Struthio camelus: one gene and its partners. The protein of the gene in region 3 binds, or shares a complex with, the protein of the main gene of each other region. Links are inferred from orthologs where the notes say so. Each region holds a gene or a part of one and is shown on either strand. Other genes may lie near its edges. The genes, in order: LSM3, LSM7, TXNL4A and LSM8.

Region 1 (6,939 bases), on a different chromosome or scaffold from region 3:
TACTATCCCTGGTTTGGAGATGGGGACACTAATGCACAATGAAGTTAGGGGCCTGATTTTCAAAGAAGCTGAAAAGCCTCCATTCCCACCAACTTCCATTGAAGACTTTTGATAAAAACGTCAGATGAAAAGTCCTCTGTGGATGTAAACTGTCCTCCATCCCATTACCTCAAATCATTCCAAGTCAACAGCCTGCACAGTTTGGGGATTTTCACCCAGAACAGAGCAAATCAGTGACAGTTAACACTGGGCATAGCTTCAACTTTTAAACATCCTTTCACTGCCCCTCACAGCCTCCCCTGTTCTTACCTTCTCTCTCTTTTCTTTGCCTGCTCTGGGGTTTCAATCTCTATCTCAACTGGTTTGCTTGGCAGCTCTGCTGCCGGAACAACAGCATCTTCTTCTAACTTATCCATGACAGGTTCCTGGAGTTCTGGAAAAATAAAATATTATAATTAATCCACATAGAATGGATGCTCTTGGGAGGGCTGCCAATGGGATAAGAACCTACCCGCTCCCAATCATCTGCTCAAACTCAACCTACAAACAGAACGCCCCAGTAATTACCAGTTCTTGCATCTTCTATAGCAGAGTCTGCTCAGCTGTTTTAGGTAGCTGTGGGATGCTAGTCACTCTGCTCTTAAGGAACCCGATCAGCAAAGTCTAATGGCAAGTCACTCTGTCACAAACCCAAACAGGAGAAAGGCCAGTAAAATGATGCAGGTGTGACTTAAAGGGTGCTTGCGGAGGAGAAAAGAAGAAACGGATAGCTCTTCCTGTTAGAAGGCATAAATCTATAGCAGTAAAATATAAAATTATGATCATCATGGTTCTCATCACAGTGTGTTGAGGGGCACCTGACCAAACAGATCAGTTGGTTTCATCTCCATCCTGCCTTGCTAGGAAGTCACAGTTTTGAATCTTCAAACTGTTTCATTCTTAGCTTCTCTAAGGACTAGATAACCCAAACAGCTGAAAAAGTGCTGTGAAGTTGCATCATTTTAACATAATCAGCAGGTTGTCAAATGCAAGGCACTGCATTAGGTCAGTGGTTGTTTTGGTCTTTTTTTACTTTGGAAAAATTCTTAGCATTATTGTGAGATATCAGCTTTAAAAGATACAGATATGCACATGGAAGATACTCTAAGTACACAGAACTCACCTACCTGAATCAAATGAGAAATGGCTGAATAACCAAATTACAAAAAAAAATTGCATATAAGAATATTTACTCCCTAATATGAATAAAATGCAATAAAAGGTTGTTACCTTCCACATCCTCCCATTCATCTTCACTTTCATCATCATCATCGTCAGCATTGTCTTTATCCATCTCTTTTTTAACAGGAGATTCTCTCTTCAAATTTTTCTCCCCCTGAGGTGGCTTCAGTGAGTCACTATGGAAATTATTAAAATGGCTTTAGCATTGGGAAGTGCGGGTGCTTGTTTATTAAAAAAAAAAAAACACAGAGAAAGAGAAACATTAAAAACAGGGAAATAAATGAAGCATGACCTCTGTATCAGTAACAACAGACACAAAGGTTTTGAATATTTGAAGGTATGTGAATACAGATGCCTTCTCTGTAAAGCAAAGCATCTGTGCCATAAACAACCATGGGCTCATTGGGGTAACATTTTTTCCAGTGTAAACTTAAGTCCTGGTTCCGCAAGGCTTTCTAAGAAGGAAGATGCCTGAACGTACAAAAGGTCCCATCCTTCAGAACAGCTTGCACAAACGCGTTCTTGGAGAATTAGTTCACTGAATCATTTCTTCTTACTGAACCTTCATCAAAGTGTACTGAAATCAGAACTGTTTCTGTTTCACCACACATTAGTGGCCAGTTGGCCAGTGGAATGAGACCAACCAATCAGTTTCATGTCTTCTTATTAATTAATTTTGCTATGGCAACCTCCATGGGAAGACCACATTGCTCTTATATTTGGATTCCTAAAAACACAGGGAAATGATATGTTTAAAGGTTTCTGCTGATACTTGTAAACTCAAGTCTCCCCGCAACATTTCTATACATGCTGGGTTCCATGAAACCTCCCTAGCCCCATGAAAAACTAGAATAACAAATTAAAAAAATTTTAGGTTTAAACTATTGAATTTGAAAAGGCTCACGTATCTGCTTCCCCCACAGACCGTCTTCTTCAAGGCCAACTCTGTTTACATTAAGCTACACATACACCAATTTGCAGCACTAGGCCCTAAACAAAAACATATAATCATGAATAAAGAGTTCATATAGGCTCTAAAAATGAACAGTAAGTGAACTTACCTGCACATTTCCTCTTCACTATGACTCCCTTTACTTTCAGTGGTTTTCTTATTTTCTTCTTTTATTACTGATTTTACCCCTTTTTGTTTTGAAGTCTTACTTGTTGAGCTGCAAACTCCAGTACCACAGTCTTCTTCCCTCTTTCTAGCTGGAACTTTTGAGTTTTTCCTTCTTGTATTGGGCTTTTTCTCTTCAAAATCATCCGCACCAGCTAGAAGAAAGGATGAAAGGATGATATGCCAAAGGATGAAATGTCACCTCCACTGCAGTCAGGAGCAATACCTTCACATTGTTCATTAGAGGAGAATTTCACCTACCAGCTACAGAAGAAAGTGAACATTCATAAAGAATACCATTTGAGTATTTGCATAATAAATAGGGAATAACTCAACAACAACAGTTAAAAGAAAATAATTGTAGCGTTAGTAACGTAGTGTTAGTTACTAAACAATAGCAACGTAGTGGGAAAAATACATAAAGATTCCTATAGTCTTACCAATGAGAGCAGCTGAAAAACAAGCATCCTACTTACCACTCGTAAGAAATTATTTTCTTCAGACAACTATTCTGTAAAGCTACTCAGAAGAACTTTATTTAAGGCATCTCCTGGGACGCTGACCACTGAATATAACAGCAACCTTCCAGGTGACACACGGGGGACACTACAGCACGGTGTGTTTTCACAGAAGAGTCATAACTAAGGTCAGCCAGACCCTTAACAGGTCGCTTGCTTCCTGATTTCCAGCCTTTATCAGTGTGTGAAACCCTTAACGTCCTCCAGATAACTTTGTGTGGGCCCTGCTGGACAGTTCGTGCATTGATTTAAATCCCTAATTCATGTATTTCAGTCATACCCCCTCTGGGGCTGTGCAGAAAAGCTAATTCAGTTCAGGGAAGTCACCAAACGATCTTTTACACCTCTGGAAAAATCCAGAGGGAAATATCCCAAACGGAGCGAGGACGTGGGAGAAGCCCGGGATAACGCGGTGTCGCACTACGTAGGCAAACGAGCGGCAGGGACGGACCAAACACGAGTTGAGAGAGCTTCTAGTCTTATTTCATGACCCTTTCCAACACCAGAGGCTGCTGAACTCCAGGGCTGTGCTAAGAGCGAGCTGAAATCCCCTCCGTTTGGGTAACAGAGAAGGTCGCGGAGATCTGGCGGGCATCAGCCCACCTGGAGCCTCCCGCTCCGCCACGAAGCACGGGCGCAGGAGCCCCCGAGCGGCTCGGTGCCCGCCGCGACGGGCCGGGCCGGGCCGGGCCGGGCCCCCCTCACAGGGCCCCGCCACCTCTCAGCTCTACAGAGCGGCTGGATTCCCCTCCGCGCTGCCCCCTGCCCGGTCTTTACGCTCCCCCGTCTTTATTGAAAGAAAACCCAGCTTGCCAACAAGGAGCCGGCGGGATGGGGCGCTCGGTCAGGCCGCGCCGGCCCCCCCGGGGAACGGAGGGGCCCGAGGCCCCGGCGGGACTTCAGCGCCTCCCAGAGATGTCGCGGCGCCCAGCCAGGCCCGCCACAGCCGCCCGCACTCACCCTCCGCCTCGCCCCGCGCCGCCCTCGGCCCCCCGCGCCGCCTCTTGTCGGCAGCCGCCGGCCGGGACGAAGCTTTGCGTTTCCTGGCCATGGCGCCCCGGCGGCGGAGGCGAGCGCCCAAGGGGCTGCCGCGGCAGCGGACGGGCTGTCCCCGCCCGGAGCGGCCGGAGCCGCCCGCCTCCCCGCGCCGTCGGAGGGGAAGGGGCAGGGCCATAAAGTCTCGCGGGAGAGGGCGCGAGGCGGTTTGAAAGATGGCGGATGAGGTGGACCAGGTGAGCGGCTTCTTCTCTCAGCGCGGGAGGCAGCGTGGAGACCTTCCCCGCCGCGGCCCGGCTCTGGCTCCCGGTCTCGGAGCGTTGCGGCGGCGGGGCCCTTCCTGCCGCCATTGCCTAGGCGCCCTCCTTCTCTCCCGCCGCGGGGAGCCGGTTCCCGTGACCGCCAGCCCCGGTAGGGCCGCAGCCCCGGGCCGGGGGGCGCCGGCATGAAATGGCGGCAGTGCCCCGCGGGCTGCTGACGCTCGGCGGCCCGTGGGGGCTCGCGGCGCCCGGCCCGGGCTGCGCCTCCCCCCGCGCAGCCTTCGTGAGGCGCTGCCCGCCCGCCGCACCCGGGCCGAGACGTTACGGCGAAGCTATACGGGGGTATAGCGGGGTCCCCGCGCTGCTGCCGGGGGCTCTGAGTGTGGGGGCTGCTGGCGGTGCCAGTGCCGGGCCGGCCTCCCTGAGGAGCCGCGGGAGGAGGAAGTGAGGAAAACGCCGTTCGTGAGGCTTCGCCGCGGTGGCAATAGGTCGTGTGCTAGGGAAGGTAGACGGGGGTGTTCCTGCGCTTCGGCTGCGGTCCTGAAAGCTCAGCTTTACCACCGAGAGAGCGGCTCAGCCCTGCTGGCGTTCAGGTTTCTGACTCCGCTGTGAGGCCTGGCGTAGCTGATGCCGTTGTGCTGGCGCCTCAGCCAGAGGTGCGTGGCTGGGGCAGGAGGGGCTGTGCGTTACCCAGCTGACCCCAATACGCTGGCGGAAATGAGAGCGTATGTTCACTTTTCCTAGCTTAAGCTGTGTGGTGCCACAGCTGTGGCACTGGCTCCTAAGCTAGCTAGTTCAGAGCTAGTTGTGCAGGCTGGGCTTTGTGCCGCAGCGCGGCCAAGGGTTGCCGATAAGGCATGTGGCCCTTTTGACAGCATTTGTGAAGCACAATTTGTTGCAGCCTAAGTTGAAGCGTGCCAGCTAATTTTGTTCGTGCTGCTAAACGTTCATAGAATGGTAATATCAATTGCCCGAAGATACAGTGGGATTTGAAAGAATGATTCAGAGTTCTTGATTTTGTGTTCTTACCCCTTTCTTTTGTGTTTCTCACCAATACTGAGGAACAGAGATGTTCCCAAGCTGCTTCTGTGTAAATGATTCTTTTTTAATTTGACTTTTCAGCAACAAACAACAAATACTGTAGAGGAGCCACTTGATCTCATCAGACTCAGTCTAGATGAGCGAATCTATGTTAAAATGAGGAATGACAGGGAACTTAGAGGCAGACTACATGTAAGTAGAACACTTTCACAGTACTACAATGCTCGTTTCATGTACAGCAGCCTTCATAATATTACAGGCAAACTTATATAATAACTAGTTTAAAAGCACATGTAACTATCTTGTGATTAAAAGTGCAGAAGTGGTTAGAGAAAGTAAGTTAAAGGTCGTCTTACTGACGGAGGTTGGTCCTCTTTTCTCAGAAGCTTTTTTTTGTGATGACAGTAGCAAAATCTAATTTTTTCAGTATTCTGTCTGCCATAAAATGCTGCTCTAGAGACTCAAGAGGTGTATTTGTTTTTTCTTTCTTAGTCCTCTGGATAACACTGACCAATTCATTCCACTGTTTTTGGCCTTTGTTTCTATGTTTATGAAATGAGCATAATGACGCAGATGCCCTCTTGTAAAGCACATTGAGGTCTATTTAAGATTGAAATAAGAATGAGATTATCATTATCAAACAAATGACTGTTAAGCTACGCCTAATAAGGATACGATGGGATATGTTCTCAACTTGATCCTCTGCAAATCTGACTTGTTTAAGTGCATTCTTTTCTGATAGTGGTGTATCACTTAATGAGAGAGTTTTCTTTTTCTGTTAAGCCAGTCATCCTTCCTGAGTACTTTACTGTGTTGGGGAAGATAACCAGTTGTCCCATATATTAACCAGGCCCCAACTCATTTGGGACCTCAATGATGAGGACATATCCATGAAGATCTGGTTATAGTAATTTCTAATATGGTTTTGGAAGGTATTTGGAACACTTTTGTAAAATTTTTGTTGTGGCTTTCAGTTTTTGTGGGGCTTTAAGTTAGCCCCAGATAATCAATCCCAGGAGGCTGGATTGGTGGCAAAGAATGTATAGCTTGTTTAATGTCAATAAATGACAAGGATAAATATATCTATCAGAGTTTTTGCATGCATTCTCATTGAAAGCTTCAAAGCCATTTCCTGGAAGAGCATTTCTGTGAATATAAAGGCAGTGGGTTTTTTCATGCTGCAGAGTACTGATTTGTCTGCCTTTATATTTGAAAATTTAACTATAACTAATACTACTTTGCTTTAACATAGTGGCACGCTTCCATCAAAATTCTCGTTTTAATGAGCTTGTGTTTGAACTTTGTAAAAATAATAATGAGCTTCATTCCTACAGGCATATGATCAGCACCTAAATATGATTTTGGGTGATGTTGAAGAAACTGTAACAACAATAGAGATTGATGAAGAAACCTATGAAGAGATTTATAAAGTAAGGAGTTCAGTGTATTTATCCTTGTAGAAAGATGTGTGGTGGTGGTGTTTTTTTTTTAAACTAAACAATGTTATCTGTTTGAAATAGGCTATTGCTAGTACTTATTGGGCCAAGCTCTGACAAAAGTTTCAGGCAGATTCTTATGAAAGTATGAAGTGTCCAAAGACTTAGTATTAATTGTACTGATCTCTTCAGTATGCCAATAAGTTGCAAAGTCAAGCTTACTTTTGTTGGAGTTTTCTGGTGTTTTTTATGATTGAATTTGGTCACATACTTATCAGATGTGTTCTGTCAACTATACTTTTGTAAATGTAAACTTTTCTTTCCTTCTTCTTAGTCTACCAAAAGGAATA
Region 2 (7,397 bases), on a different chromosome or scaffold from region 3:
GAATAACTAGGAACAATATTTATATTTAAAGACTCTTACTAATCAGGCACCCATATTCAATAGCAGTGCCATGTCACAAGTAAGATCTCTGCAAAGCTGGAAATTTGCTAGAATCATAATTAACAAGTGAGGTGTTTTTACATGACACTGCAAAACTAGGAAAGGGCTTTCACATAACAAAAGCATAAAGTCTGAGGGTGTAACTACACAGGCAACTAAGCCAGTCTGTTTGCAGCCATTAGAAGGGCACACTTACTTGCTCTGATCCTCATCAGACCCTTCCATGGCCTATTTAACACATTAAGAGAGCAAACCACTTTTTTCCTGAGTTAGTTTTTTGTCATGTTGGTGAGTTAATGGAATTTGGACAAACGCTAGGGCTCACAAATTAAGTAATGGAAGAAGTGAAGAAGGTGGCAAAGAGAAATTTAGCACATCTGCATTTCATGGAATTGTGACATGAAAGGCTGAGCAAACCTCATGGCTCACTCTTGCCATTTGTTCCTCCCTCCCTTAATCTCCAGACTCATCTGGGCACCTCAGACACACTTGTTCCACCTGTGATACTTGCTAGATCACTATGAGCTGACTGAGCTCACTATCAGTTTTTCATGCCAGGCTACTGCTAGTTGCAATTACATTAACTCTATCATTTCAGAGAGACCTGACAAGCAAGAGTTGGCACACAGGTAGTAATGGGAGCAAAGAGCTGGGAAATGAGTATGAACAATCTCACCTTTCCAGTGGCATTGGCTCAGGGAACTACAGCCTAAGGCTAATGTTTTAAGGCAGAAGACAACGACATCGCTACCAGCAGCACCAGCCCTTTCCTGCCTACTGTAAAGTATTTCTTCTCACGTGATACCCCTCTTTGTGCAAATAGAGTTGTGCATCTACAGTGACTTGGATCATTGAATTGATTCCACTGAAAAATAACACATTTATTCATAAATACTTATTTTTTCAGTGTTTGTCAGCTGTATTAATTCTCTGATCCAGTTCACCACAGAACTGCAGTATTGGCTTACTGTTCAACAAATTTTAGCTCAAGTTGAGCCCTACAGAACAAGAAAAAAGCCACCTTCTCCTGCTGTGCAGTGGAGTGATTCAACTTACAGGTACCTATAGAAACCTTTGCACATCTACAGTAAGAGGAAAGAGGCAAGACAGGAACAGATATAAACTGTATACCTTTAAGGCATGACATTGTACAGTAAAGGGATAAGAGATCATTAGAAGGAGCAATTTACACTGTAAGGAGGTCACATGAATCTGAGTATACACAGAGAAGTTGTATCACTAATTAGGATTACAAATTTGTATGGCAATAGTGGGAGGAGAGAAGACAGTGCTTTATGACCACAATCCTCCAGTCTGAACAACTGAGGATACAGTCCTAGTAGATGCTGGTTTCAGCAGCAAAGCTGGCAGAAATAGTTGCCTATTCACAACCCTCTCCCTGAGTTCATAGTCATCTCAGTTGTGTCAACACAGCTGTCTGGGGAGCTGGTCTTAAGTCAAGTCCTTTTAATAAACAAGAATTAAAAATAATCCTCAAAAAGTTTAACTGTGTCACTCCAATCATGCAGTTTCTAGCACAATCTGGGTGAACAGTGATGCTGACACAAGAATGATGTACACTATAGCACAGGAAAAGAAAAATTATTACCTTGGAGACACTGGTTCACAGAATTACACCATAAGCAGCAGCTTCCTCTGCACAAAGATAAACAGAGAATGAAGTGCTGTTTGCGATTCAGGCAGTCCCAACAACCAAGAGAAATCCCATACTACATGGCAATTACCCACAAGGACTGGGAATGACCCATAGCTCTGACAGCTGAAAAGCACATGGAGAAAAATCCAGGGAAAACACAACACAATTTCCAGGTTGCTATTGACTTGTATTTTTTCCCCTCTTTTTGCAACTTAGAGTAATTTGTTTCTAATTCTTTAATTTTTTTCCCTTATTAGAATATACTGCATGTACAGCTTTTCCTCAACTTCATCAATGGATAAAATTGTCTTAGAGATTTAAGAGACACTATTGCTTCTTCAGGGAATATAGCTCCTCCTCCCCCCTCCTTCCAAAAAAAAAAAAAAAAAAAAGATATAATGAGCTATGCCTACTCTTACAGCGGAAACCATGCAAGACAAATAGTGGAGTTACCAGGAGGTGGGGTGCGTTCCTTCCCCTGTGAGCTGCATAATCAACGCAATGACTATCAATAGCAGACAACAAATTTGCAGACAAAGACAATACTCCTTTAACAGGCACTGTACAGTGGGAAGAGAGTTCGTAATTGACACTATTCATAATGTGACAGTTTCATGTGATTAAGTTGTCAGCCATCTTAATCTAGAACTTCAGGAAGTCTCTTGGACCTACTGGACCTGCATCACAGAACACTGATTTTACAAAACAGAAACCACGACCTCAATTCAATATTCTACCAAAAGCTAGTAAAATAATGGCAGCTAGCTAATGGCAGTGAGCTAACATGCTCACTGTAGATTGTGTTATATATTCTGCATTAGTCAAAGGTTCCTATACCTCATTATTGTTACAGAGCAACCAAGAGATGGCAAAACCATGAAGGAAAGGTGAGAATGACAGGAAATTAAATGAAAAGTGAGGACTCAGATGCCAAAACAAGATCTCTAGGTGTAGATTGTACTTGGATCTCTAAGATCGCACCCCTCTTCTGCTGCTTCCAGATGAGGATCTATATTTAGGAGAACCATACTTCACTAGCCAGCCTGCTCCTTCTCCCTACTTAATTCAGTTCAGAAGCAAACCTGGACCATCTTCTGAAAAAGGCCATCCCACCTCTCAGTAGGGAGAGGAAGAAAGATATACTCCCAATACACCAAACAGACAGTACTACTTATATTCGAAGAAGTTGTAAATGAGCTAGCTTGGGTAGCAGAAATACATTAGCAGCATATAGTAAGTTAACTCTTTGCTGCTGCAGCATGACTGTTTCAGTATTCCAGCTGACTTGTTCAAAGCTTGCTCAACCATGCTTACACTACTTTGCTGCACAAACATACTAAATGACTTGCTTACAGAAAGGAAGCAAGCTGCAGTGCATGGAATTGAAGCCAAGACCTTCAAGTGTCAGGGCTCAACCACTGGACTATCCTACCTGCTATCTTTCCACACTCTCATGGGGGTCACCCTTTCAAAATTGATGGAAAAAAATGACTCCATGCCAGTCCTTGACCCATTCTTACATCTTCTCTCATATTAATTTGAGGGCTCCAGGCTGGCAGCACTAGTCTAGTTGAAGGATTATTAGAGACACCAACAGTGTGCAGGACAGGCAAGCACAGAGGAAGGGAGCAGGTGATGCACAGAAAAAGAACTTAGCTGGCAGTCTGCCCATTATGCAAGTAAACATCACTGGCAAGGAATCAGTATGCATGTTTGGGGGTGGTGGTGGGGAGATTTTTAAAGAAATTTTAAAATTTTTGCTTGTTCCTGTAAGACCCTTGGAAATACAGTTTATCCCACAAAAGGTATCAGTTCAGATGAGGAACAAGAAGACAAAAATCAAGACAGTCTATAACTTCAGGTTCAGCAGAAACCTTGCTTTACTTTACAACAGCTGCTTTCTCAGAGGCAGTTTGTTGCTTGGGATGAACTCAAAGCCAAGAGCCTTCCCTGCTGCAGTGACCCTGATCCCAGCCCCATCCAGTGGCTTAGGCACACTTCCCAAAGGACCACCTGGAGAAGACTGCTAGCAGCACAGGGAACCGATGTTGCAAGAGCTACGACAAATATTTTGCTAACCACAGGAAAAGAGATTAAGAAACACGTAAATCGGGGAAGACACAAAACACAAACCTGAGCCCGGTTTGGGGTAAAAACGATGCTTTCTTCTTTCGTCCAGCAAGAAAATACTGTAAGTCGGTCATTAACACCCGGGAGGCGGCTCCGGAACCGCGCTCCCACTACGGGAGCACGGCTGCGGCCCCCTCATACCACTGGGGCCGTCCTTCCGGCTCAGCGGAGGCCGGGTACCAGCCCCCCCAAGTCCCCGCAGCCCCAACGGGCTCTTGGGATCTGTCCTGCACCAGAGCCAGGCTTTGCCCCACGCCCAGTCTCTGCCCGGTTGCTGCTCCGTCCCGGTAGGGTTCGCCGGGCCCCGCAGAGAGAGCGGGCCCAGAGTATTCCTCGGAACGGCACAGCCACTCACCTGCGCAATGAAAAGCAGGAGAAGCGAGGCCCGGAGCCAGGCCTGCCGTACTGCCGCCATGCCGGGCCCGCCGCGCCGCCGCCCGCTTTTGTTTCCGACGGGGCCGGGCCGGGCCGGGCCGAGCCCCCTTCCGCACCAGGTAACACGGCAACCCGCTCCGGAAGTCCCGCCCCACGCCTGCTGGAGGAGCGAGTCGCCCTTGTGGACAGCCAATGAAATGGCCTGTGGTGTTGACGTTGCTTCTGGCAGCAGCGAATGAAATGGCAAGCGGCGGGGAGAGGACAGTGGCGGCGCGAGCAAGATGGCGGTAAGCTGTTGGCGGGGGCTGCGGGGCTCGTGCTCGCCTAGGGAGCAGTCACGCGGAGGTGGCGTCTGGGCTCGTCACCGTCTTTCCGTGGCTGCGGCCGCTGCAGGGCGACGAGCGGGGCCGTGTAGTTGCGGTCTCCCAGCCTTGGGAGATGCCCGGGCCCGGCTGCCCCGTGCTGCCCGCGCGCGGAGGGTCGCTGTGCCTTTTCGCCGTTTCCCCCGCTCCGCCTTCGCTTTTAGCTCTGTGTTGGGGGAGGTTTGCCTTAGTGGTATGGTTCCCCACCCGGGGTCTGTGTGCGTGCAGAGATGTTTTAATTTAGCTTGTTTTTGGTCAACTTCCTTAGGATAAGGAGAAAAAGAAGAAGGAGAGTATTTTGGACCTCTCCAAATACATTGACAAAACAATCCGAGTGAAGTTCCAAGGTGGGAGAGAAGGTGAGCCTACGGGCAGCACTTGGCTGGTAGTGAGGCACGTGAATTTGCAGCATACTTTGCATCTTGGCTTTTTTCCTCCTCTTCTGTGTCAACTTTTGTCTCCTATGTGATCATATTGCCTTCATTCAAGAAAAGATGAGTAATGGATTCTTTTCTTTGTTGCTATTTGCTGTTACAGGTATGAAGCTTCTTATTGTGTTTTGCCTTTAATCTTTCCAGTAGCCCCCATCACTGTTATTTTATCTTTGTGTTTCATCCTCTTTGTGTCCTTTTCTCATCATCTTCCATTGGTTTTCTTAAAGTATCTTTTTGGCTGTTTTTGGTGGGGGTTGTTTATTTGTTTGTTTTTATTGCAAGGATGCACTTAAAGCACAAAAGAAACAAAGCTTCAGAGCAACACATCTGTCTTCCCTTTCATCTGTTAACTTCCTGAATGTGCTGCCTGTTGTTTTGAATTCCTAGATTATTCTAACATGTTTTACAAGATCTTTTCGTCACTTTCAAGGCTCTTGTATCCTCCCCTTTCATCCGTCCTTGCTCTGCTAGCATATATCCATCACTAAGCAGCTGATAGTGCCATCTGCAGACACTTGTTCGTCTGACAGTTCACATGCTGTGTGGAAGTGCTCTGCGTAAGCTTTTGCAAGGCTAGCTGAGTTTGTTTTAAAATACCATTTTCAAACTCCCAGTTGCTCTGGATGCTTACTAGTTTTGAAAGTTACTAGGAATCTTTGATCAGTGGGTTTTTTGTATTTTTGGGGGCAATTGACAATTCTATTAGTTCTATTGGTTTAGATTTTCTTATCAAAAAATTTGCTCCAAGTTTCTTTCTGTTTTTTTAAATAGGATTATGGGAGTCATATCTTTTGGTTTAGTGTCTTAGCAATGATCGTAATGCTGGTAATCAATAGATGTTTTCAAGATGGAAAGTTATTCTGTGCAGTCCTGCAGTTTCTTTACTGACCAGTCTTGTAGATTCGTATTTGGTTTCCTGCCAAAGTGCTTGGCTCTGTGCAATGTATCCCTATAAAAGCAATACTTATGTTGAAAAGATTACAATTCAGGACGGAAGACAGGACACCTGGAAGATGGGTCACCTGAGGAAAACACTTAAATATTATCCTCTTGGTTCATTTTCCCATTCATCTTCCTTAAGAGCTTTTTTTAATGATATAAATTGTGTTGATTTGTATGCTGAGGTATTCTTAAAATGCCCCTGAAATTGACTGATAACAAAAATGTAAAAGTTTTGAAGAACATTTTGAAGAACTGGCTGAAAAACCTGAAGGCTTCCATTGACACAACACAGACCGGTTTCAGCTTGTGCTTTTACATTTGCATTGTGATAAAGAGGGCACTATTTAATATCTCTGGCTTGGCTTGTTTGATAGCCTTGCTTGAGGGAGGAGGGCCTGGAACTGGAGAACTGAGTCCTGTGTTGCCACAGTCCTATTTTTTGGCAGGGGGTGTCTCTAATCGTTCCTTTCTGTGTGGTCTTTAATAGCTAGCGGAGTCTTGAAAGGATTTGACCCTCTTCTGAACCTTGTGCTTGATGGTACCATTGAATATATGAGAGGTAAGTAACATGCGATTTGTGTTTTTTAAAAAAAAAAATCTTCCCCCCTGCCCCCAAATATTTCGCTTGATAAAAAACATTCTGTTCTGTGAGTTGAATAACCAGAAACTGCAGCTTGAGATCATCCAAAGTGAGATTTGTTCACAGTTAACTATGCTTAAAGGAAGGGTTAAGATAACAGAGGTTAGGTTAAGGGGCATTGCTTGTGGTAGAGGATTCTTATTAGTCCTTTTTGACCTCCCCTATAACCCATCTGGTCCTTGTTGTCCTCCAGCACTTGAATGAAGTAGCTTCTGTCCTCTTAAATGAGGCCGTTGCCTTTCACTTTGTGTATACCATTGGAGGAGGCCAGTTCACACACAGCATGAAAAAAAACTCAGTAAAAATTGGTATCTTACTGTCTTAAACTGTTCTGTTAGTGCGATCTTTGCATTTCTGTGGAACTAAAGCCTTCTATAACCTCTTAAGGCTAGCACAGCTGTGATTTTTAGTTTTATTTTCCCCTGCAAGCACAAATGTTCCTCTTCCCCTTTTTGCTCCCTTAAATGAAAGCGTCTTCTCATGTTAGGGGGCAATCTGTTTTCTAGAGTGTTCCCTTGCCTGTTTGCAAGGAAGCATCTCAAAGTTTAATTTTGTTCTTAGGAGGGAATTTTGAAAGATGAGCTTAGTGCCTTTTTACAAAATATTTTGACATCTTAAGGAGTGTAGAATTGGCTCTTGCTGTGTTAAGAATGTTCATCTGTCTGTCCCCATCCATTGTCTCGCTTGATTCAGTCTGGGCACAGACGAACAAGGAATTTGTTTAGTGCGTTCTGTAGTCAGGGTCTTTGTCTGATTTGCATTGATGCCCAAATGTTTGTCTGAAAGGGTATTTGGAA
Region 3 (6,831 bases):
CTACAAAGTGTAGTTGTCAAGTTAGTTTCATTGTAGTCCTGAATCCATACTGATTTCATACAGATCTGGTAGGTTCTCAATCTTATCCACAATTACTGTTTAAATATAAACAGTGGTATGACATAACAGAGGTTGCTAGAAAGTTACCTAAAATTTCTTGACTATGGATTATGGTTGGGGAAGCAGCAGGTAGTCTAGGGAGGCACTGGGGATCAAAGAGGTCTGACAAACAGCCGTCTGGAATGGTTTAGGTCTAACTTACATGTTGAAGGGCCATCCTCAGACAACTGCTGCACTGGTTGTCTTCAGTGTTTCAAACATTAAGATCTGCGCCTGAACTTACCTCCCCCCAGTTTAGCATTAAAAGCACTGAAACAGTACTTTTACAGCACCTATATGCCGAAACAGTGGTGAAAGAGTGCTAGAGATGCCAGTGTAAGTCCCACTGACAACACAGTCCTTCAGACTAGAGCTTTTGCATGCCCAGGCAGTTCTGAGCCCAGCTCTGTCTGCAAAAGCCCACGCAAATAAATCGCACCCTGCACTAAAACAGGGACTCCACAAATAGCCACGCACCTAACTAGAGGCGAAAATCTGCAGCCCTTATTGGCAAAAATAATAGTTGAAGATGAACCACATGTTTAACACCATTCTTGTCTAATTTCCTATGGTTCTCTTTGCTGTATTCCACTTACTTTAAGTGACTGTCACATACTGTGTCCTAGATCTGGGTCCTGGGAACCTGCCATACGACTATATGAATCAGAACTTATATTCTGCAGCAGCACTCTGATCAATTCTGGGCACACAGTGCTAGGCAGAAACTTCTTGCTGCCCCAGTCTTCTCACACAAATCTTCAGAGATTAATCAGACATTCAGACACTACGAATAACAAAAAGGTGTCAACGTAGAGTAGAAGTTTCTGTCGAGCTGTGTTTCCCCTTGTCCTGAGCAAACCCAGTCTTACCTCACCTGCATCACTTCAACGATTACAACCTCGGCGCTAGTCATATTGCTTTATTTATTGCTTTATACTGGCCTTGATCTGTATTTCTGCCTCAGTTCGAGTCTGCTACTGGACACTGGCTAGAAGGGGTCTAAGTGTTAAGACTGGGCCTTGACCGGCGTGTCTGCAGCTCACCATGAACAATTTATCCATTAACAGCAACTGGTTCTGAACAGTTCTGAATATTGCATTATTCATTCCGAATACCCTACTTCAGAAAAATACCTATCTAATTATTTCTTCCCAGATGACGTATTTTGAACTCTGCCAGCCCCACATGGCTGGAAAAAATATGCAAATTTCCCCACATGCAGTCAGTGTTTTGTAAAGTATCATGCAATATGACCTTTTAAGGATAAATCAAATTCATCCTCCAGAATTAACTGTCTGTAGAATAAAATGTAAGAGCTAATGACACACTGCAGCAGCACTGTCCAACTTCTTGATGAGCAGAACCTGACGATATTGCAGCAATTTATTTAGACTGGGTAGCAACTGAACCGAGCGCCAGATATGATCACTTGACTGGCAGATGCCGGGGAGGCAGTACTATATTACATCATTTGCTTTTGTCACGAGTTTCTCCTTCATTACAACACACTGCTCATGAAGGTCAGAGTCAAACACGCATTTATTTCAGAAGCAGTTCCTGAACTTTGCAAACAAAAAGGTGATTCATGGGGGAGCTAGTGCGCAACACAGTGAAGGCTGATTTAGCTTTAAACTAACCAGCTCATACATTAAAAACAGGCTAGTCTCATACAAACCATCTTCTCAGTACGGTAGACGTGCTGAATGTGCCACAATTTCAGCCACGTTTGATGTGCGTGTGAACCATTCAAACACTGTGGTTTTGGTTCAAAGGCTGGGTTTCTTTTAGTACTAAGTACAATGAGAAATTAAAAAAAAATATATATATATATAGATAGATAGCAGTAAACTAAAAACACTTAAAGGAATCTTGTGCAGGGCAGGGGTCTCTCCAGATACTAACCTTAGTTAGAGGAGCATTGAGTGTTCTTCCTCCAGCACTACTTGGGCCTGTCTTGTAGCTCTGTCTGTAATCCACACTCCTCTTTTGACAGGGATGTACATGAGAAGTAATAGCTGGATGAAATTTATAAGCCAAACTTGGCTGGCCATCCATCAAGTGAAGAGATTTTAACAGACCATATGTTCTGCCCCTGAACATAACTGCTCAGATATCAGATGTCCTGTTCAGTATGTTAAATGTAATACCTGTTAAGGATATGACAGTTTTGGTTTTGGACTAGTGTCATCTGCAGTATCGCGAACTCTCTTAATTCTTCTTAAAGCCTGTGACGCCTCACATTTTCTATTTACATAAGACTGTCTGCTTTCATTTATGGATGCATACATAATGATCTATATTGAAATAAGGTATGTATATGCAGGTCCTTAAGCATTGCAAGGGAAAACTTTGAAAGCACAACTCCTAGGTTGGGACAAACAGGCAAATAAAAGAACGGCGTATAAGTATTCATGTCAGTGTCACCGTTTTTCTAGGCTAGCCCTACTACTTTTGTGGAGCTTGACTCACTACCTTCAGATTTGTGGACTGGCACTGCTGCATCACCAGACTTACCCAAACGACAGCAAATTTTCCTAGCTCTATTTTAAATTCAAGTTAATAGCCTAAGTTACCCAGAGTAAATTCCTCCCACTAACTTATCTGTGGAAGAAAACCGATTATTTGGGTGGTAACAAAAGGATTAATCTGGATGGGTTTCTTTCTAACAGCGTTTCTGCTTATCTTACCGCTTCGCGAGGAATCAACAGTGAACAATTTCCTGATCTTTACGTCGCGGGCCCCTGTTACGTCTGGGTGCCGAGGTCCAAAGGTTGTCCCAGCTCCGCCTGCGCGCAGCTCCACGCTGCGCCTGCTCCTACCCTCGCGGGGAGATTTCAGCCAGCAGCTGCTGTGTACGTTCGCTTAACTCTTGCGCTGCCTGACGTCTCGGTCAGGAGGAAACCTCCCTCAAAGTCTGCGAATATTCCCGCTGAAAAACGTGACACACAGTGGGAGACGCTGAGGGAGTCTAGCCCGCAGATGGGAGGTCACCGGGCGTTGCTGCGGGGCCCTCTGAAGTAAGAGGGCTTTCTCCTGAGACCGGGTTAACCTTCCCTCCTTTCTCACTTTCCCGAAATTGAGTTATCTAGAAAGGAGATTGTGTGAGATGAGGATTTTGATCCAGGTTTCCGGAGAGCTTTGCATTTCTGTGGCAAAGTAATTTGATACAAATTCCATCTACCACTGTAGGACGATTCGCCAATGCCCTAGCTCAAGCTTGTGTGGATTTTTGGTAGTCAAAAGTATGGTTTTAGCCCTATTTCCTGCAAACTAACCTTTTAAATGAGAGTTACCATGTAAAAGTATTTATTTGCTTTTCAGGAAGCAAAAAAGATTGGCCGGGGATGCCCTACCTCAATGGTCAACTTGATTCTGAAACCTAACGATGGCGATGCAAAGCTCATGGTTTCACTGAGGACCACTTCAGCTGGAATATCTACCGAGCGGTGTTCAAGGACGCTCCTTTCGGTTGCAAGAGGAGACAGAACCTAGTGGTACCTAAGCAAGGCTACGGTCGGCAGCTGGCCAGTGCAGTTTCCCGGGCAGACTCCCCAAGCACCGGGGTCCCCCCACTCCGGCTGCCACCGGCCATTTTGGTTACCCTTCAATCCCCTCTCTCCGGCTTGGTACGGGCCGAGCTGTCTGCTCCTCTCCCCCCCCCCCCCCCAGTTTTGAGACTTGGTATGCGCCAACGGGCCTCCCTTCGGCCGGGCCGGCCCCGCCCACGGAGGGAGGCCCCGCCCCCAACCAGGGCGGAAGGGCTGTTCACTCCTCCCCCTTCCAGCGCCGGGCCCGGTCGCGCTAACGCATTTCGTCACTTCCGCCCTTTCCGCCGCCGTTGGTCGGTCGCTCTTTCCCGCTGAGCGAAGGACGCCCCAGGGGTGCGGCGCGGTGCGCGGGTGGGGAGAGAGGGGGAAGGAGGAGGCGCCTCCTCCGTGGCGCGCGGCGCCTTGTGTGCGGGCAGGCGCGAGCCGCGCGCCGAAGGTTCTGGAAGGGGCTGGGTGTGTGGGGTGGGGGTGGGGGCGACGTGCGCCATGGCGGCGGCGCCGCCGCCGCGGCCGTTACGCGCTGCCTTGGGCTTGCCGGGGTGCCGCTGCGGAAAGCTGTGAGCAGCGAGGGAGAGCGGGAGGGCGTTTCTGCCGGGCGGTGGGTGGCGTGTGAGCAGGCCGGGCTGTCTTGTCAGCTGCCGGGCGCTTGCTGTCGTCCCGCAGGCCCGCTCCCTGCCCTTCAGGATGTCGTACATGCTCCCGCACTTGCACAACGGCTGGCAGGTGGACCAGGCCATCCTGTCGGAGGAGGACCGAGTGGTGGTCATCCGCTTCGGGCACGACTGGGATCCGACCTGCATGAAAATGGATGAAGTCTTGTACAGCATTGCGGAGAAGGTAAACTGCAACTGTAACGTCGTACCCTCGCTTCCTGTACTCCGTGTTTCAGGTGGCTAACGGAGGCAGGTTACGGCTCAGTTTCTGGAGAGGTGTTTCTGCGTTTCGAGGCAGCAGCAAAGCTATTTTGTTTGCTTCCGTGAGTGTTTCCTAAAAATGATCGGCTGCCCTGCTGTTTGTAATGCTCAATGGGACAAAAAGAGTGCTGCAAATCCCAAAGTCGGAATTGCTGCTTGTTAATAATTCCTCATTTAATGAACGCCAGCGTTCAAACAGAAACATGCGCTGGGTAGTAGGAATGTTATGATGTTAGGTAACGCAGCACCGTCACTTTACAATTAGAATGCATAGTAGCTGCAGGTTTTCATTTGGATCTAAAAAACTATTCTAATTTGACACTTACAAATGGTAAGACCCTAAAACGTATAGGAAGATGTTGATTAGCATATCAGTGATGTTCTTGGTGTAAACGGATGCCATTCCGTTGAGTTGCATGGGCTGAATTAAATGTTAGGACCTACTGAGGCAGGCTTTGAAGCTTTTTCGTATGGAAATAGTGCCTTCTTACAGTAGGTCAGTCACTTAAGACACGTACACACTGAAGAAGAGTTAGTCTGTGTTAACATACACAATCAGGTATGATTTACCTCTTCATTTCTGTGGTAAGGGTATTGTGTAGCATCATACGTTGAAAGTTGACAGCTCTTCTTTGAACCGTATAGAAAAGGAAGCAAGAAATCTGAGCAACAAGTGTTAATATTTAACCTTAGGCAGGAAAAGGAGTTAGCTACCTTCGTATAAAATTGTGTGCGTATTGCATAACTTGGAGTGAAGTTGTGATCCTGGTGTACTCCTTTCTCTTTTAATTGTATTTTTAAGTAAATAAGCTCCTGTTCTGTTTTTCAGATCCCTAAGGTTAAAGATCTGTACCTGTAATCAAATATTAAGACAGAATAGGGTATGGTGAGGACTGCTGTGACATAGTTTAATTTAGTCATTTTGTATTTAAAGATGGGAGCTTTTTATAGTTGGATACTGTTAGTATCTGCTCTTGGCAGGATGCTTGGCAATTTGGCAGACATATTGGCACTTAAGGGTGATTGGGGGAAGAAAGAACAATATAACTTCTTATTTAAAAATCTCCCTCTGCAGAAATGGCAAATTAAAGGGGGAGATCCTTCCTCATCCTCTTGCTTACAAGCCATGTTTGGATCTCGCAGCTGTTTTAAAGAGTGAGTAAAAGTTCCAATTGTACAGGTGTTTATACTAGAGAATAATACAGAATGTTAACATGCTGTGATTGCATGCTACATTTGAAGAAAATGTAGCTGTATTTTATATTTGGTACCATGGTGTGTTTTTTCTTTTGTTTTTAATCTGCAGCATATTTCTGGGTAGCAGTGATGTTTTCTGTACTTTATACTTTGAAATTAGTTTTTTGTTTGTTTGAATCCTTTGGGGAAAGAGAAACTAGAACGACATACAGAAGTACAAAGCAGGTGATTTTCTCTGATATGTACTCTACATAGAGTTAACCTACGTTATTTTTTTCAGCGTTATATTTGAGAAGGAAGCAAGGCTTCACAATAAATCATAGCTATAGAATGTCTTTTTTGGGGGGAGGAGGGAAGAGTTAAAATCATGCTGAAGCAAAAATCTAAGAACTGAGTTGTCCAAAATTCCTCTGGAGCACTTTCTTTATAAAGACACTTTTTTAAAATTTCACTTTACAATAAGCTCATCCCCTGAAGTGTGGAGCTTTTACTGCTAAATTTCTGTAATACTTTTGTTTTTTAATTGTGATGAAAGTGCTTTAAGACCATGATTTGTTTAGAACATAATAGTGTAAATCAGGTGACCTTTCCTGAAGCCAGGTCCCTTTAACAGATAGGTTATATTGGGTCAGTGCTGGTCTAGAGAGGATTGTTCCAATATTTTGCACTTACTTGATGATAATCAGAAGTGTAAATAGCTGTGATTGGCTCAAACATCAGTTGTTCCTCTTTGCCTTTCTGTTAAGACTGCAGGAAAAGTGAAGAGGGGGAGAAAAAAGGAGGGAAGGGGCCTGTACAAATGGCATTGGTATTAGTCACTGGTGTTTGCAATTAAAGTTGAGGAAAGCTAATCCATTTACTCTTATCCATAGTTTTCAAATTCTTTAGCCATAAGCATTGCTCTTGGCAGGATGTCATCTTTCTCTTCGGACATATAAATTTAACACCTAAACTGCAATATCATATTCAGAATGAGGAAAAAAAAAAGTAAACAGTGATGGAATAGACCTTCAACTTTGTACTTGCTGTGTTTGCAGTCTTTTTCAGTTTAGTAATACAAGTCTGCTAGGCAT
Region 4 (7,991 bases), on a different chromosome or scaffold from region 3:
GAAAGCATAAGAATTACTCTCAGAAGAATCAAGAAAATCAGATGCAGGGGATCTGGGGGTGTTTAGTTCTTTTCTGGAGTATTTATTGACTGATTTCTCTTCTTCAGCATCTACCACTTCATTATTCCTGGCCTTAAGTGCTATTTTTTCTTCAGCAGCAACTAGGCGATGCAATTCTTGTTGAACAGATCAAAATAGATGTTGCCCAATTTTGTGTTTTGTTAAAAGAAATTTCTTAAAGCTCCAGTTCCTGCAATCAGGTGATTATACTAGAGCTTCAGGTTTCAGGGAAGCCTGAAGAGCAGTAAGTCTTGAACCTTTCTCCATCAGTTTTGACAGGGAAATCACTAAACTTGACATACCCTGGCACTGTGGTAGTACACAGGCCTTTCTTCTTGTGAGAACTCTACAAAGATGTTTCACCCTTTAGCATGGCTGGTTCTATAAAACCTGTTTACTTCTTAATAGCTAAGGAAAGCAAAGCCCCCAGAGGCCAGCATGTTTAGGGAGATGTAAAACTGATAAACAATACGCAGTGACAGCAGCAGCAGATCACTCACTCATCCGTCCCAGCAACTTTAGGCCAGATAACAAGTTTACACCCAGTAACTGCTTACAAATACACTCTACAGCTACCATTGTGGGGTTTCCTTCCCGCCCTGCCAGACCATAATGAAGCAGGAAAGTGTGCAGAGACACTCTAGGGCATGATTAGATGGTTATATAGCCTATGGAAAGCATAACATACAGCAACCACCCACCACAATCTTAATGTAAGGAGAATCTTTACAAAAACAAAAACCTGATTTTAATTATGGGAGTAAGTATAATTATCAAGTAAGCTGTATGCTAGAAAATGTAAGAGAAAAGGAAAAGCTTTTTACACAGGTGCTTTGTTTCTTCAATTATTTGAGAGCTCTATGGCCATTACACTCATATTCAGTTACTCAGTGTGTCCTGATGGGCAACCGTGCAGCAACTGAAGGGCAGAAAAGAGCAAAAGGGTACCTAAGCTGCAGGTTTCTGATCCTGAAACCAAAGTTACATTGGCAATTATGGTCACCAGGAATATAATTTATCTGGCCTAAAATAAGTGTTAAACAGTGAAATGTCTTATGTCTGAGCTAGTCACCCTAGGCTCACTCTATAGCCAATGGAGAGACACAGACATCTTCAGTGGAAAATACATCTCTGCATATGGCAGAAAACTAATTTTTTTCTCTGTAAAGGCCTACAGTGACATGCTCAGACTTAGTTACTTAATTTCTAAAGTTAGACTCAAGGGATCTTGATGAGCTAGGGAGAAATGATGCTCAAGCCTGCTTATTCACTTCACCTTAAAGGTCACTGGATTTCTCTACTGAAAGAAACCCTGTAAATAGCAACAAGAAGCCAAGATTTCCCTCTAGTGGACAAGTAGTTTAACCACAGTTTCAGATTCTTTCTTGGTGCTCTAATAAATAGCCTAATAGATGGTGGATGTTTTTCTGCATGTGGCACAGCTTCAACAAAAGTGCAAATTCTGGTCCCACTTTATAACTTACTACTAAAGTTCACTACCGAGAGGAAGAGGTGGAAGAGATCTAATTTTCTTCAAACAGATGGGGGAATTAAATCAAGAGTTTTCCACTTCCCGAGTGGAGCATTATGTAAGAGGAAAATGGCATTAGTGGTGGTTTCAAACAGAAGACTGAACCTAAATTAAGACTTTGAAAAGAAGGGCATAGCTGCCTGCCTTCAAGGCCAGGGTGGAGAGAGCCTGAGCAGAGGAAGTGGGAATTACACTCTCAGCAGTTCCTTTGAGTGGGCTAGCTGCTGTGAAGCACCTAATGTGGCCAAGCCTGGGTACCCAACTTCAGGAACCCAGATCTAAGCCTTATTTTTCAAGTCTTAGTCCTTCTTTTACAAAATAAGAAAAATATGCCTTCTGTGTTCTTCAGAGACACTGCTAAAATAAAGAGATAAACTAGATTCTTAGGGGATCAGATATTGAGGTAATTTGGGCATGAAAGTATTTAAGATTTTATCCTACATCCTTGTATCCTACTCTCATATTTTTGGTCTTTGAAAATGTCTATAGTGAAGAACAAAAGCAGGAAAAGGAGAAAGAAAATGTAACACCACAGAAATTAATCTTCGGCCTCTTAAATGTAATACATAGTAATTACTTCCAACCCTGGCATAAGGTTCAGCGGCAATTAAGCTTTTTAAAATAAGAGCTTGAGAGGGCAGGCATTATGCAATGCTCAGCTGCAAAAGTATTTCATGTTCTCTGATATCTCTTGTCATGGTTTTGATAATGCCTGAGACATCAGGCAAATTCCTGAGAAACTGGCTTGGTGCAGTTACCTTCAGAGGTTCCAGGAGGTGTTCATCCATTTTTTTCTGGCTAATTGGCCTTAAAAACCTTTGTTTTGCTTCCTTTAAAGTAGCTGTGAAGATAATAAATGAAATAATCAGCATTCTACTGAAAACGGTATTCCCTAGATTAACTTCAACAGGAGTTAGACATAGAGTTACAATACGCACCTCTTGCTAATCTGTCACCAAAGTCTTCATTGAAATAAAAGCAAGTAGGAAGATCTGAACTCAGAGTAGCATGTGTGTAGCAAATTGAAAAAAAGAATCACAAAGTACTTTTACAGTTGAAAGGCAAATACACAGAAATTATGGAATGCAGAACTGAGATGTTTGAGGCAGCCTTAATTTGGCCTAGTTTGTTTCTGCATCTTCTGCTACATTATCTGAGACTCTTTCTCTACAGGCCTCAATCAGTCAGCGAGAACAAAAGATGATACCTGATCTGTGTCTAGTTACTTGGTGTTTCTTTGGCAGAATTGGGAATGAAGTGGACAATTCAAATTTTCAGTTCGTGTTTTAAATGCCCGATCATTTTTTCTAGGTATGAAAAGATACAGCCTTTCATAGATGAAGACTTAGGAAATTTACATGTGAAACCCCCAGACAGCAAGATAATCACTTTCTTCATGAAGTTAATTTCTTCATGTTTCTTCAAAATATTATTTGGAAGAGTTTTCTCCTACAAATGTCTATGCAGTGCTTCCAGGGAATCTAATCTCCTGATGATAGGCAGCTTGAATGTTATTTTAAATAACTTTATGAAGGCCATCACAATCACTATTCTCACCAATAGACTGGAAAACTGGGACAGAGATGAAATTACTGTCTCAGTGTTATCTAAAAACTCATTGACAGAATAGGGAAGGGAATTCCATATTCTGAGTCCCAAGACAGTATTTTGTCTACTGAAGGTCATGAATTTACAACTTATATTTTTCTAGTTCAGAATGTATGCAGCTGCATTTCATGATACGCTAGATGAAAAACAGCCCACTATTGGTTTTTCCACTTTGAAAGAACTTTTCTCATACAGTGTTACATCTGAAAAGCTAAGTAGTCAGTGCAATAGCCAGTGAATACTGTCTACAACCAAAAGCAGGCAGAAGAAAATACGTTTTAAAGTGTTATAACAAAGACTACTTGTGCAGTGGTGCTGAAACAGGGGCATTTACTTCACATTTCAGAGAATTTGTTAAGTATACTATTTATACTCTGGGAACTGTCAGGAGGTTATACCTGTGCACTATTTTGGATACACACACACACAAAGAACGGTTTAGGTTGGAAGGGACCTCTGGAGATCATCTAGTCCAACCTCCCTGCTCAAGCAGGGTCCTCTAGAGCATATTTCCCAGGGTCAAAACCCACCAACAGACTGCTGTATTATCAAATAGCATTAGAGGGATTCATTCATGACAACTTTTTATATATGAAAATGCAGCCGATGTCTGCATGTACAACATATTGCAAAATATTTCTGAAAGTCTGCTACATACTAACAATGGTTGTACTATCCACCACAGGGAAGAAGGGCTAAAACAAATGACAGGGAATCAGTTTTACAGCTTAAATTAGTTGTTACTGAATGTCTTGACTTAAATTTGCTGAGACATTTCCTCTATGCAGGCTCCCAACATTCTTGCAAATGTTCTTCCAGTGTCATCAAGTCCAGCAGATTTAATATACTCCTCTATTTCACAGGACTTTTGAATAGGCTGAGGAAACAGAGTACAGTAACTAAGACTGACCAAGAAGCATGGAAGGCAGTTATAATCAGGCTGAAGTGAGAAGAAATAACCTGCCAGCAGAAGAGAAGGGAAGAACGCTAGTGAAAGTTAAAGCTATACAAGAGCCAAATGGTATGAGTACTTGAAGATACTGGCATTTGTCATTCCCAGGTTTACAGATTAGGATGAAAGGAAATTACCACAAAATCCAACCTCATGCATAAACATCACCATTTACTTGACCTTTGCACACCTTTTCAAAACATGTACAATTTTGCATGGATGGAGAAATCCTAACTACTGTATCTCTTCAAAAAAGTAGCACAACCCTCCGCTTATGAGAGACATGGCCAAACAGGGCCGGGCTCACACAGACTGCAGTTTGGTGCCATGCCCGTTTCACCATGGGATCTGGGCACAGCAACCCTCCCTTTGTCAAGCCTCCCACCTCCACCGCACCCAGGGATCCACCGTTTCCTTTGAAAACACCGCTGGAGAGGACTTCGCAGGCAACACTGCCTGCCACGGTAGCCCCGGACGGCCACCCCCCACCGCAGGCAGCCAGCCCCGACGGGCAACACGCCGCCATCCCGCCCACCCCACAGCGGCAGCCCTCAGAGAGGAGAGGGGGCGACACTCCGTCACCCTCCTACGTTTTAGGAGGGAAACCTGGCTCCCGTGTTAGCAAGAGAGATACTATTCCCAGGCAGTCAGCCCGCAAGCCGGGCACGCAAACGGCCCCTCCACCGCCCACTGCAGCCACTCCGCAGCCGCGGGCCGAGGCAGGAGCCGGCAAAGGAATGAGCCGCTGCGCCTGCGCCTCCTGCCCCCCGCCCCTCCGTCATCGTTACTTGGTACAGCCCACGCGGACCTCCCCGTCCCCCCCCCCCCTCCCCGCGCCTCTCAGCACATGCGCACCTACGAAAGCTCCGCGCACCGATGCGACGCGAGCGCGGGAAACAGTCGCGCCATTTGAAATGTGCCCCTTCGCCGCGCCGCGCATGCGCACCGGCTGAAGCGGCCTTTCGGCCCTCCTCCTGGTCCTCTGCGGGCCTTGCGCGCCTGCGCGCGGGGTCGCGCGTCAGCGGCAGGCGCCGCCAGTCTCGCGGCCGCTGTCTCGCGGGAGGTGGCCGCCGGCGCGAGGTGAAGCGAAGCGAAGCGAAGCGCGGGAGCCGCCGCCATGACCTCGGCGTTGGAGAATTACATCAACCGTATCCTTGTGCCGCGCGGGGAGACGGGCCCTGCCTTGCCTCGCCTCGCCTTGCCTTGCCTCGCCTCGCCTCGCCTTGCCGCTGGCGCGCGCGGGAGGCCGATCGCCGGGCGGGGGGATCGGGGCCCAGGGCCAGGGCCCGGCGCGGCGTTGGGCGCTGGAGGTGCTGCGGGCGGCAGGTGCCTGCGGCGCGGCAGAGTGCGGCCTGCGAGCTGTTGCCCAGCCCTGGGCAGGCACCTGGGAAAAGGCCGGGGCTTCTGGCCTCCTCGGGGCCGCTCCCGCGGGAGGCAGCGTTGCCTGGGGCCTTCCCCGCTGGCTCGGTTTGTCTTTCCGTGGGGCTGGCTCGGAGGCTGGCAGGGAGCGAGAGAACAGCGCTGCCTCTGGTGCTGCGGCAGGGTTACCCCAGGGCTGCGCGCTCAGACCTTGCCGATACTACTGTGAAGAGGCAGACACAGCGGACCCGGGCTCTTAACATCTATTTAGCCGTCAGCTTTACGCCGTTCACTCAAAAGCTGGGAGCTGGTGGTCTTGGAACCCTTTTCTTGCGAAGTTTCGGTACTCTTAGCGACCTATGGCTAATTTCGGTTAATTCACAAATGCAGAGGTCCTAGCCCATAGTCAGTCAGGTCGATGGAAATGTGATCATTAAATTGGGGTAGTCAGAGCCTCAGAGTGAGGGGAGGTAGAATGCCAGACTCAGGGTCCCCACCGCTAAGCTGTTTTTAAGGACACAGCTCGAAGTGGCAGTCCATCGTGTTTATAAAACAGTTTGTTACACACTTGCTATCTGATAGTCTGCTGCTTTGCCTTGGAGCAGTACACTGTGTAATGGGAAGAGCAGTGGAATTCTGATGTGTAGTGTGCTTTTAATGATGATCGTGTTTGCTTATGGCTCCGTGGTCAGGCTAAAGCGAAATTTTGGTGCTGACTGGTGTAATAAAAAAGAGAGCTTGTCTGTTGTCAAATGTTGCTGTTAACAATGCTGCTTGTCTTTTGTTCTTAAAGGCTTTTCTAGTTCCTAATAAAGTTTACGTTATCACTGCTTCAGAAAGTTATAGTGGTTCTGTTTCAGATGTCTCAAAGCATTTCCTTAATGAACTATCAGGTACTGTTGCAGTAATTACTTCTGATGGAAGAATGATTGTGGTGAGACTTGTACTTTTACACATCTTTTGCTACCATAAAGACTCTTCCATGGGAATAAAGAAACAATGCTGAAGCATACACACTTAAATGTTCACGCCTTTACAAACTTTCTTTTTTAAGCTTTATCACCGGTATTTTGTATTGCATGATTTAAACAGGTACTGGTTGTTGCCTGTGAGCTTTGCCCTTTGATAAATTCATACATGCAAATGCTTTGTTTTGACTCTTTGTAAATGGCTTTTTCTATAGAAACGGATAAGAGAATGCATTTCTTTTTCACTTCAGTGCACCCTTTCTTCAGTAAGCTCTCTACCTTAACTTTCATGTTAAAAACATTTCTTCCATAAGCTTACAGAAAAAACATAGTTGATAACTAAGAACTTATTGTGGAATTCTGTTTAAATCGGAAAAGCCGAGGACTGACAACTCTGTGTTAGACTGTATAATGTTTTATTTTTATTGCTTCACTGTTCTTTATTTTCACATGGTTCTCTTTTTTTCCCCCCTCTCTGATATTCTTTTATGTTTTGAGTTTAACTTAATGATATGATCATTGCATGAGGATTATATGTTCCTGTCCATATGTATACAGTTTAGTGTGGCTTCTGGAAGGAGAAAACATTAAAAAATAAAGCTAGGAAGTTTGTATTTTCAGCAGAAATATCTTAGCTTTGGACAATTCTCTGTCTTGTTGGAGCCAGTCTGGGAAACTTTGGTTGTGATGCAGGATACCTTTCTACCACAAAGATTTAAATTGAATTGGTATATATGAATTGTTGTCACACAGTTAGATGGTATAAATGGTTATTATTACTGTTTAAGTGATAGTATCTTGTGTAAATTTAAATTTCTTAATTGATTTGTGGAATTTAGCAATTGATTATGTTATCTTTTTTTTTTTTTCTAAATTCATACTGAAGTGGTACAGAAATTCTTCCTCTGGAGCTTTTTTGTGGGAAAAAAATTGAGATTCCTTTACAGAATCACCAATTAAAATTGCTCCTTAAAATGATCTCAGCGCTGTTGAATATAAAAATCTAATTTTTCTGTTCTTTGATTTTTTTTTTTCTTTCCTGAAATTTCCATACAAGAAAGACTAAAATACTGTAGAAATAATAACATTAACTGTCTAGAGAGCTGTCATGGGGACAGGGGCAACTGCTTTTCTTCTAATGTTAAAGATTACAGTAGCTGTTAGTATGAATACTCAGTAGTAAATATTAGATATTCTTCTTAAATTGATTATTGCTTTTAAAATTTTGTTCTCCATCTGTATGTATGTAAGCTTAGAAATAAAACTGAAATAAAGCATCTGTTCTGTAGTACCTTAGCGCCACTTTACTTTTTAAGATACCCTTGAGAGCAAAGATGATAAATTTAAAAGGTTATTGAAGTGCTTACTTTTTGTGTGCTTTTTCAGGGAACCCTCAAAGGTTTTGATCAGACCATTAATTTGATTTTGGATGAAAGCCATGAACGAGTGTTCAGTTCTTCACAAGGAGTTGAACAGGTTGTACTAGGATTATACATTGTAAGAGGTGATAATG

Evidence for each region.
Region 1: TXNL4A (region 3) and LSM3 share a complex: the UniProt entries of both Homo sapiens proteins name them as parts of the precatalytic spliceosome. The link is inferred for Struthio camelus from reciprocal best matches to the Homo sapiens genes TXNL4A and LSM3.
Region 2: TXNL4A (region 3) and LSM7 share a complex: the UniProt entries of both Homo sapiens proteins name them as parts of the precatalytic spliceosome. The link is inferred for Struthio camelus from reciprocal best matches to the Homo sapiens genes TXNL4A and LSM7.
Region 4: TXNL4A (region 3) and LSM8 share a complex: the UniProt entries of both Homo sapiens proteins name them as parts of the precatalytic spliceosome. The link is inferred for Struthio camelus from reciprocal best matches to the Homo sapiens genes TXNL4A and LSM8.

Annotation. Positions count from the first base shown.
Region 1 is NC_090955.1:9,035,141-9,042,079, forward strand, and holds the start of LSM3 (U6 snRNA-associated Sm-like protein LSm3), read left to right. Parts: upstream 1-3,924; 5' UTR 3,925-4,067; coding exon 4,068-4,088; intron 4,089-5,234; coding exon 5,235-5,345; intron 5,346-6,487; coding exon 6,488-6,583; intron 6,584-6,923; coding exon 6,924-6,939. Other genes in the region: XPC (DNA repair protein complementing XP-C cells), read right to left, coding at 310-433, 1,270-1,397, 2,283-2,493, 3,817-3,907. UniProt on the Homo sapiens protein: Plays a role in pre-mRNA splicing as component of the U4/U6-U5 tri-snRNP complex that is involved in spliceosome assembly, and as component of the precatalytic spliceosome (spliceosome B complex).
Region 2 is NC_090967.1:1,465,046-1,472,442, reverse strand, and holds the start of LSM7 (U6 snRNA-associated Sm-like protein LSm7), read left to right. Parts: upstream 1-4,392; 5' UTR 4,393-4,503; coding exon 4,504-4,509; intron 4,510-4,852; coding exon 4,853-4,943; intron 4,944-6,447; coding exon 6,448-6,519; intron 6,520-7,397. Other genes in the region: SPPL2B (signal peptide peptidase-like 2B), read right to left, coding at 4,203-4,262. UniProt on the Homo sapiens protein: Plays a role in pre-mRNA splicing as component of the U4/U6-U5 tri-snRNP complex that is involved in spliceosome assembly, and as component of the precatalytic spliceosome (spliceosome B complex).
Region 3 is NC_090943.1:94,314,420-94,321,250, reverse strand, and holds the start of TXNL4A (thioredoxin-like protein 4A), read left to right. Parts: upstream 1-3,823; 5' UTR 3,824-3,980; exon of another isoform or gene 3,981-4,083; intron 4,084-4,094; exon of another isoform or gene 4,095-4,204; intron 4,205-4,310; 5' UTR 4,311-4,331; coding exon 4,332-4,484; intron 4,485-6,831. Other genes in the region: probable 2-ketogluconate reductase, read right to left, coding at 2,002-2,199. UniProt on the Homo sapiens protein: Plays a role in pre-mRNA splicing as component of the U5 snRNP and U4/U6-U5 tri-snRNP complexes that are involved in spliceosome assembly, and as component of the precatalytic spliceosome (spliceosome B complex).
Region 4 is NC_090942.1:28,358,659-28,366,649, reverse strand, and holds the start of LSM8 (LSM8 homolog, U6 small nuclear RNA associated), read left to right. Parts: upstream 1-4,989; 5' UTR 4,990-5,268; coding exon 5,269-5,299; intron 5,300-6,403; coding exon 6,404-6,444; intron 6,445-7,864; coding exon 7,865-7,991. UniProt on the Homo sapiens protein: Plays a role in pre-mRNA splicing as component of the U4/U6-U5 tri-snRNP complex that is involved in spliceosome assembly, and as component of the precatalytic spliceosome (spliceosome B complex).